3 linked regions of the Mus musculus genome follow. The protein of the gene in region 1 interacts with the protein of each later gene in a biochemical or structural test. Links are inferred from orthologs where the notes say so. Each region holds a gene or a part of one and is shown in the gene's direction. Other genes may lie near its edges. The genes, in order: Rufy1, Rab14 and Rab4a.

Evidence for each region.
Region 2: the proteins of Rufy1 (region 1) and Rab14 form a complex in vitro, tested with the Homo sapiens proteins (2 studies listed by BioGRID). The link is inferred for Mus musculus from reciprocal best matches to the Homo sapiens genes RUFY1 and RAB14.
Region 3: the proteins of Rufy1 (region 1) and Rab4a form a complex in vitro, tested with the Homo sapiens proteins (2 studies listed by BioGRID). The link is inferred for Mus musculus from reciprocal best matches to the Homo sapiens genes RUFY1 and RAB4A.

Annotation. Positions count from the first base shown.
Region 1 is NC_000077.6:50,428,191-50,432,574, reverse strand, and holds the start of Rufy1 (RUN and FYVE domain-containing protein 1), read left to right. Parts: upstream 1-1,449; 5' UTR 1,450-1,469; coding exon 1,470-1,791; intron 1,792-4,384. UniProt on the Homo sapiens protein: Activating adapter involved in cargo sorting from early/recycling endosomes. Regulates retrieval of proteins from endosomes to the trans-Golgi network through interaction with the dynein-dynactin complex.
Region 2 is NC_000068.7:35,181,900-35,184,263, reverse strand, and holds part of Rab14 (ras-related protein Rab-14), read left to right. Parts: intron 1-432; coding exon 433-520; intron 521-840; coding exon 841-871; intron 872-1,816; coding exon 1,817-1,994; 3' UTR 1,995-2,364.
Region 3 is NC_000074.6:123,829,854-123,832,907, forward strand, and holds part of Rab4a (ras-related protein Rab-4A), read left to right. Parts: exon of another isoform or gene 1-161; intron 162-379; coding exon 380-534; intron 535-2,949; coding exon 2,950-3,045; intron 3,046-3,054. UniProt on the Homo sapiens protein: The small GTPases Rab are key regulators of intracellular membrane trafficking, from the formation of transport vesicles to their fusion with membranes.

The DNA of each region.
Region 1 (4,384 bases):
TGCCTCTGCCTCCAAAGTGCTGGGATTAAAAGTGTGTGCCACCACACCTGGCCTGCAACAACACTGTAATAATTTTAAACACTAAGAGTTCTGTGGTTTGACATGGTCCAAACTGTTAAATTCTTTTTTGCAAATTGTTACATTCTCATGACATTCGCATCTCCATCTTGCCAAATTCCCTTCTATCCCTAGTAAGAAAATAGGCTGAATAACCACATATCTGTAGGGTGACTTATCCAAGCCAGAGTTGGAAAGCAGAGACAATAATCACAAGGTACGTTGTGTGCTGCGTTTCCTTATCACTTAGGAATGAGGTTGGTTCAATTCCTATCAACTTAATTAATAGCAGAATACAGAGCTCATTTCCAGACCACCACTGCTGACCTTGCCTGCTAGGCTGTCATTCAGATTCATTTGATTTGAAAGAAAAAGCCCCACCACCACACACACACCTCTGACTCATCTGTCCTAATTTCTTTGGCAGCCCTTTTACAGCCTGTTCTGAAGAAAGCTGCCGAAAAATATGAAGTCGAAAATATTAGACATGAGTTGGCATGGTAAGGCACACATAAAATCCCCATACTCACTTGACAGAGGCAGGGGGATCACCAGTTCAAGGCCAGTGCTCTATTACTGAGTTCTAGGCCAGCCGGAGCTACAGACTGAAATTCTGACTGGGAACATAGCTCTGCTAGTTCTGCTAGTAGAGTGCCTGCCTAGCATGGTGTGGGGTCAGAAGCACTTGGGAGATGGAGACAGGAGGATCACAAATTCAACGGTCCTGTTGGTTATGTGTGTTGGGGGTTGGGTGAAGCTCAGTGGTAGAGGTCTTGATTAGCATGTATGAGATACGAAGTACAATTCCCAGAACTGCCATGCCGCGCGCGCGCGCACGCGCGCGCGCACACACACACACACACCCCAGAAAAAAGTAGTTAAGCACACCCCTGCCAAGTGGCCTACTGGGGGTGATGGGGACTGCGTTGTTGAGACAGGGTTTCTCTGTGTAACTCTGGCTGTCCTGGAACTCACTCCGTTGACTCTGCTGTCCTCAGCGATATTGCCTGCCTATGCCTCCCTGATGCTGGGATTAAATGCTTGTCCCACCACCACTTGGCTACATGGCCTGTTTTAATGTCTCCCTTGTGTGGGGGAAAGAAACAACAATAACAACAACAAATAAAAATCCAACAGTGAGATTTTGATTCAAAGGGGGAAAAGGCATGTGAAATGAAAGTTTAAAAGAGGAAGTTGTGTCGCAAAACGTTAAAATAAGGCGCATTCCCGGGGTGGGAAGTAGAAAGTCCAAAAGTAACTTCCAAGTGCTCCGGGCTGGGAATCACCTACGGTTAGGAATCGTACTTTCCCGAATGCTATACAAGGAAAGCAAGCCCAGGTGAGAGCGAGCAAGGCCGCAGCGGCTTAAGGTCGTCGGTCCAGGGCAGCGGCGGGTCACGTGACCTAACAACATGGCCGCCCGCGGAGAATGCCGCCGGGCGGGGCAGGATTCGGAGCCGGAGCCGGAGCGGGAGCCGGAGTCCGAGCCGGGGCCGGAGCCTGAGCCCCAAGCAGGCCTAGAGTCCGGGGAAGCGTTCGAGATCGTGGACCGGAGCCAGCTGCCGAGTCCCGGCGAGCTGCGGAGTGCGTCGCGGCCTCGAGTGGCCGACAGCTGGTCGGCGCCCATCCTGACGCTGGCGCGCAGAGCCACCGGGAACCTGTCGGCGAGCTGCGGCAGCGCGCTGCGCGCGGCCGCGGGGCTGGGAGACGGCGGCGGCGGCGGGGAGCGCGCAGGTAGGCCGGGGTCCCGCGGGCCGGGGCTGCTCCCGGGCTGGGGAAACCTGACCGGCCGGACGAGCTGCTCCGCGGAGCTGTGCCGCGCGGCGCGGCACGGGGCTCTGCAATTGGTGTCACCCACCGGGCCAGGGTGACTGCGGCCCGGGACTCCCCTCCCACCTTGTTTGTCTTTGTGAACCTCAGAGCAGCTGCGTCGTGATCACGGATTGACTTTAAATAGGAGGTTTACATTAGAGGCTTAGACGGAAAATCACCAGTGTTCGTATTTTGCATACTTGACAAATGAAGTCCGGTGCTGGTCCCCAGTTAACAATCTCGGCAGCCAGCCGGTTTGCACCTGCGGCTGAGGTTGACAGCGTATTCCAAAGTTGGTGAGAGCAGCGAGTCAGAGTCAGGAGGTTTTAGTTCCCTTTATTCTCCCGCCACTAACCCCCAACCCCACCCCCCGTGGGACGAAGACTTCCCATCACCTGTCCTACTCGCGTTTCCCAGTCTATAAAAACGGGGATTAAAAAAAAAATTAATCAGCTACGTTGAATAATCCAATTCAGCTGTTATGATCTAGATTAGAATTTCAGCATACCAATAAAGAACAAAAGTAAATTATTATTTGTTTTTTATAGCTGGGCTTGGTGATTCGGGTGCATACTTCCTGCACATGTTAATGTACGTGCTCAGAACTGCGCTAATTATAATCCATTGGTGTTTCTGAACATATCTAAAATTAAAATATAAAGGATAGCCAAGGGCGTTGTGGTGCTCGCCTTTAAGACCCGCACTTAGGAGGTAAAGGCTTGTGGAGCTCTGAGAGTTTGAGACCCACCTGGTGTACACAGTGAGCCCCTGCCTCTAAATAAATAAACAGACAAATAAATAAATAACCACGTTTCACTTGGCCTGGTCACTTACTGTGAATGGACCATGCAGACTTCAGGTTGCTGAGGTAAAGTGAGTGTTGACTGTAAATGCCTGGGGCATCACGTGCATACAATAGACTTTAGTACCCAGATTTTATTTTAAAGAACAAAATCACAACAAAAACAACAAAAAAGCTTCTTTCCTTGGTAATGAATTAACCTTGATTTTTCGGTTTTGGTCTTGGTTTTTGTTTGGGGTTTTTTTGTTTTGTTTTTAGTTTTTTGTTTTGAGACAGGGTTTCTCTAAGTATCCCTGGCTGTCCTAGAACTCACTCTGTAGACCTGGCTGGACTCGAACTCAGAAATCCTCCTGCCTCTGCCTTCTTCATGCTAGAATTAAAGATGTGCACCACCACCGCCTGGCAATCTTGGTTATTTTTATAACCTTTTCATTTGTGTGTGTATATGGGTTCACATATGTTTGTACATGTGCTTGTGTACTTGGAGACCAGAAGTTGGCTGTTTTCCTCAACTGTTTAACCCACCTTATTTTTGAGACAAGGTCTCTCACTAAGCCCGGAGCTAACCAATTGGCCACACTGTCCAAAAAGACCCAGGTGTTAGCATTCTGTCTAAACTCCACCCCCACAGTTACCTAGCAAGAGCCAGGCAGGCCTGACCCACTATAAAAGGGGCTGCTTGCCCCCTCCTCCCTCTTACTCTTGCTTCCCCCTTGCTTCTCTCTTGCTCTTCCCTTCCCCCTCCCCGTCCCCCTCTCTCCACGTGTTCATGGCCATGCCCGGCCTATACTTCTCAACTCTCTCCCTCTCTCTGCCTCTACTACGCTCTTAACTTCCCTCCCCATGCCCTGAATAAGCTCTATTCTATACCATCATGTGGCTGGTCCCTCAGAGGGTAGGGGGTGCCTTGGCATGGACCCGCCGAGGCAGCCCCTTCCCCCATACCTCACCACACCCCCATAGAACATATCTTATACCTCTTTATCTTTTTTTTATAAACACATCGCCAGGTATCGTCCTGTCTCTGCTTTCCCAGGGAAGCACTGGGAATACTAACAAATGCTGTCGTGCCCAGTGTTTAACACTGGGGATCTGAACTCAGGGCTTCAAGTTTCATCTCCAGCCCTGATGTTTTTAATCATTATGCTTGCCGTGCTGTGCCTGTGGAAGTCTGAGGATGCCTTTCAGGAGTCGGTTCTCCCCTTCTGCCATGTGAGTTTCAGGGCCAGCACTCAGATCACCCAGCCTGTACCCACTGAGCCATCTCACCAGCCCTGGTTTTTACTTTTTGACTCTTAAAACAATGGCTTAAAACGTACACACATTATGTACCTCCACAAAAATGTTTTCTTTCTTTATATCCATATCTTATCCTTTTTCCCATTTAAAATTGTTTTGGTTTTAGTTGTTTACTTAAGCCTGTTGGCTAAGAGCAAAGATACAGAGAGAATTAACAATAGTTCCCAAATCTCAGGAAGTTTTGGGTGAGGATGGAGAGAGGCTGGTAGTGGATTCAGGGTAGAGCTGGGTAGGAGGAATGGTTTCTGAAGTTCTGTACTGTAGCTAGAATAGCTAAGATCAGCAAGAACTACCGAATATTTTCTAACAGCTACTGGAGATGTTTTACTCAATCCTTCCCAACAGGGAAAGGAAAACTGTTTGAGATGGTGGATATGCCAGTTGCCCTGATGTTCGTTACATGTTAAATCTATA
Region 2 (2,364 bases), on another chromosome or scaffold:
AGAATCTTTTGAGAACTGAAAGCTATAAGCCTTCTCCAGGGAGTGTTCATGGTAACAGCACTTTGCACTTAATTTTAGGGCCTTCTTATTAATTTTGCTTATTTTTTTTTGGCCTAGACCAGATATGAACAAATTGGCTTGTGAGCCATATTCACCTAATGAATGACTTTTCTATTTTTAAGAGATTTGTGACAACAATAAAAATAATATTCAGCAAGACTTGTGTGGGGCCCACAAATCTGAAATATGCCTTCTCTTCCTTACAGTCATTTTTCAGAACCTGAGCCAGCTTGTTGTGAAAGTTCTGCTCAGTGTTCTTGCCTTATGCTGTGTAGTCCAGGGCTCATCTTTTTTTCTGTCAAGGCTTTTGTATTTGAGAATTTTCATAGGTATTTTTGTTCTAAGATATCTTTTCTTTTGTTCACGAATTAGGTAATAATTCTCATAGGAAATAAAGCAGACTTGGAAGCACAGAGAGATGTTACCTATGAAGAAGCCAAACAGTTTGCTGAGGAAAACGGTGGGTTTGAGACTTAACACTCTCCTATGGGATTTTTTAAAAGAAAGGAGAATTAGATCATGCCGGCTATTCGAATTTTGTTTTTTTAACTTGTTCTATTCAGAAATCTCAATAAGGAAATAAAGTGTTTGTTTCTATGATACCTGTTAGTAGTAGTGCAGCTACTGAGTGACAAGTACTGATCTGCCCCTGCACCTCAGACACGTGCTCCTTCATGAGGGCTGGAGTAGGAGTACTGACAGCTGTGGGGCCTACTCACATGTGACTGGAGCACTCCTGACTCTGCAATGTCCTAATTTTAGTCTGAATTTTATTTTTAGGCTTATTGTTCCTTGAAGCAAGCGCAAAAACGTAAGTATGGCTAAAATGTAGATCATGTTTCAGTTCCATGCAGAGTAGAATCATGTGCTGTGTAAGTGAGTGATGCTGTAGACAGGCGTGGGAACTGTGCTGTGTAGTGAGGCCGTGGACAGCAGGAAGAGCAGTGAGCAGAAGAAGCTCCTGTTTCACTTTACAAGAGAATGGGACCCTTTTACTTAAAGGGTTGTACCTCATTGTGTCCACTGGTAACCCAGCTTAATAAATGAAACTGTGCTGACATCTCACAAGTGTTTGACTCTCACAGCTGAGGTTGAGTTTGGTATCTTGAACATGCACTGGGCCAGCATGTTCACACAGCACCTTAATGATTCAAGGACTCCATACTTAGTGACTAATGAGACACAGCGAACATTTCCTGATTGCCTTGGAGTTTAGCATTGATCCCAGCACTCCCAGTCATAGTTCTGTATCACACCAGGCAAGGACAGGCCAACCTGTTCATGTTATTTATCTCTGCTGTTGGTCCCAAGAGAACTGAGCTGTGAACATGGTTAAACATGACTATGTCACCATTGCATGATAAAGATAGCATAGTTTTATACATGGCTGTTCATAAAATAATGGAAAGCCTGGAATCCTGTCGGTACATTTGGAGAAGTTTTATTTGGAGCACCTGCTCATTTCAGAGTGGCCGTCTCAGTTTTCATGCAGTATATTAACAGAGCCCTGCAGTGAGTAGACGATGTAAATATGCAAACTGAGCTTTAGAAACAGCTTGGTACTGGGTTGTTTACTCACCACCAAAAACATTTCCTATGTTCTCTTAGCTCAGTCTTCTGGTAATCTCTTATTAGATGACAGTGGCTAAGTGGAAGACATCATGGCAGTTGACTAAAGGTTTAGCAGGTCAGTGTAAATGCCTTACATTTTCTAGAAAGCTGTGCTTTGTAAATAAAGTTGTTGATTGTCTCTTAGGGGAGAGAATGTAGAAGATGCTTTTCTTGAGGCTGCCAAGAAAATCTATCAGAACATTCAGGATGGAAGCCTGGATCTGAATGCTGCCGAGTCTGGTGTACAACACAAACCCTCAGCCCCGCAGGGAGGACGGCTAACCAGTGAACCCCAACCCCAGAGAGAAGGCTGTGGCTGCTAGTGACCTCTTTGCTCTGGCCCCTCATTTGACCTTTCACCTCTGTCTGTTGGAAGCAGTACTTTTTACTGCCTCCTTGTCTTCTGTACATCTTACTGGGTTTAATTAAAAAAAGAAAAAAGAAAAAACAACTCTTGTAAAAACAGTTTAACAATACTAAACTGCTAAACATCTAGATGTAATCAGGTTATCAAAGGCAAGTAGAGTAATAAATCTCTCCTGCATGGTAAATCTAGACTTTCCCCCTTTGATTGTCCTTGTGATAGGTTTGTCACCAATATATGATTTAAACTGAGCACTGCTGCTGGACCTGATTTTTACCTTCCCTTTTGGCAAGGCTTTGTCTCGCTGTACGGTTTAAATTTGATCTTTT
Region 3 (3,054 bases), on another chromosome or scaffold:
AAGCCAGGAAGTCCTGCATAGTGTCCCTAAGCCCCAGGAGGTCCTTGCAAAGTTGTCGTGGTGGATTCCTATGGGTCAAGGTGCTCACAAGTCTACAGGTGACCATGATTAGTGTTGCAAGCCAGGCACGTATCTTGCACATACTCGGGGTTCAGGTGCATCTGTGAAGGGAAGGAAAGCCCTTTTTTGAAACCCAGAGGGTTTCATTGTAATAGAAGCTAAACATAGCCCATGAGCCTATTGTATCACCAAGCATTCGGGTTCCCACGTCACCTCTGAGGCCCAGTTGATAAACAGTGTGTGCATGGTGAGGATGACTGGAAACAGTTGCTAGTTTTATAAAATACATGTATCATTTCCACAATCTTATGTCACACAGCCGAGAAACCTACAATGCGCTTACTAATTGGTTAACAGATGCCAGAATGCTGGCGAGCCAGAACATCGTCCTTATCCTCTGCGGGAACAAGAAGGACTTGGATGCCGACCGGGAAGTCACCTTCCTCGAAGCCTCCAGGTTCGCACAAGAGAATGGCAAGTGACTTTTTCCTCTAAGAGAGTCTCTCAGGGTGGTCTGGGCACAGTGACATTTGGGGGTCTTAACCACCTGGTGGAGTTTTGAGACGAAGCTATCTTATGAAACTGTGGAGTCTCTACTGTCAACTTAGGCTATTTCAGCATAGCTTAGTCTGTGCCCGTTGTGCCGACAAAGGTCAGTGGGTTGAGGAAAGCAAGGGATTTACCATCTGCAGGGCTTTTATGTCTCTGGTATGTTAGCCATCTTAGAGTGGCACGTTTTTTAATGTAACCTGAAGCATAATTGGTAAAGTCATCCTCCTGCATAGAAAGGAAGCAGATGAAACAGCCAGCTAGCTTCATTTTCTTACATTAAGTCATTCATTCAACGGCAGCAAACCTCTACCTTGTTTATTCTTTTGAGACAGAGTCTTTTTATGTAGCCCTGGCTGTCCTGAAGCTCACTCTGTAGACCAGGCTGGGTAACAACTTTATTAATGTCAAAACCGCATTGCAAAATTGGCAGTTGCTTGCAGAGATAACAGCATTATAAACATTTAGGAAGAGCCTTAATTCTGAGCCAGCTGAGACTACTCCATCCTTAAGTCCACATATGGTTGGAGGCAGACAGAAACCTGCTTTCCCATCTTAACAGGGGTTTACTAAGAACTAAACATGACCCAGGCTTGGTGTTTTGGGCTTGCAATCCTTGTACTTAGGAGGCAGAGGCAGGAGGATTTCTGAAATCTTGAAGGTAGCCAGGGCTATACAATGAAACTGTTTCAAATGGGGGGAGGGGAAATAGAGGAAGAAAGGTAGGAAGAAAGAAAGAAAAAGGAAAGAGAACCAATTAAGTCTACACATGAGATGTGTGGTCCCAACCTTCCTAATGCTGACCCTGTAATACACGACAGTTTCTCATGCTGTGGTGACCCGACCAGAAAGTTATTTTCGTTGCTATTTCACAACTGTAATTTTGCTACTGTTATGACCCTTAGGCAACCCCTAACCCCTAGGGTCAGGACCCACAGGTTGAGAACCATTGTTTTAGGATTAGCTGTTTGTATGGTTCTCTGTATAGCCCTGGCTGTCCTGGAACTCACTCTCTAGACCAGGCTGGTCTTGAACTCACAGACATCCACCTGCCTCCTGAGTGCTGGGATTAAAGGTGTGTACCGTCATCCAACCTCCACCCTGCCTCCCCTGCTCCCCCATCCCTGGCATTTTAGAGCTATTTAGAAAGCAGGAGGTGTTTAGAATGATCAGGAAAACCCTCCATTAGTACAGACCTGTTAGTACAGGCTTATAGCTGTGATGTACCTGCCAGCAGGCTTTCCCCTGCTTTCCCCTGCTCTGGAGATAAAGGAACATGAGTCTAAGTAATACAGCAGGGCTAGAGAGCCGGATCAGTGGGTGAGAGCACTTGTTCTTACAAAGGACTCAAGTTCGATTCTCAACTTAACCACCACGTTGGGCACCAGGTATCCATGTGGTGCTTAAACATCCATTCAGGCAAAACATTCATGAAAAACTAATAAAAATAAATCAAGTGGGACTACAAAACCTCCCCAATTATTATTAATGATCATTAGTATTAACGATTAGAGGAGAGCCAAATTAGTAAAAATTATCTAGGATGCCCAAATGTACACATTTTTAAACTGAATATAAATTAGAAGCTGTGGGCGGGGATGGCTTTTCTTGGACAGTGGGGCTGTGGCTGGCTGGGATGGACATGGGTCCTGCTCATGTGCTGTGTAGTGCAGTGATTTGTCAGCACGTAGATCACTTGGAGAAGAAAGTTTGGCTCCAAGTCATGATTTTAGCCAAACAGCCCCAACTGGCGTAGTAACTGCCACAGTGTGCTGCCTTCATCCTGTCAGCTCGGGGGTCAGGGCACAACAATGGCTATTCTTCAGAAAGGGTTGGGCTCCCATAACTGAGCACATCAACACACCCGGACCAATACCCTGTGATCCCAGCACTTGGGAGGCATGGTCAAGAGAGCCAAAAGTTTAAGACCAACCTCAGCTACATGTAACCTTATCTCATAAAAACAGACAACAAAAATATATATTTATGTGTATTAATTTTACATTTACAGAAAGAGAAGGTTTAGGTACTGGATTTTGCATGTTTCTACATGAGAATCCTGAACAGGCTTGTCAGCACTTAAAAGTCACTGTCATTGGGCCAGCAAGATGGCTTAGAGGACAAAGACACTTGCCTCCAAGCCCGAGGACATCAATTTCATCCCTGTGGCCCACATAGCGGAAGGAAGAAAAGTCTGACCTACAAACTGTCCTCTGACCACTGCGCCCACACCATAGCATGCACTCCCTCCTAGAATGAGAATCTGCACTGAGATTTTAAAGATCACTCTCTCTCACTCTGCTAAATGTGGCTCCCTCTCTTCTTTGATACCATTTGTAGAGCTGATGTTCCTGGAAACCAGTGCACTGACTGGCGAGAACGTCGAAGAGGCTTTCATGCAGTGTGCAAGGAAAATACTTAACAAAATTGAATCAGGTACCAGCC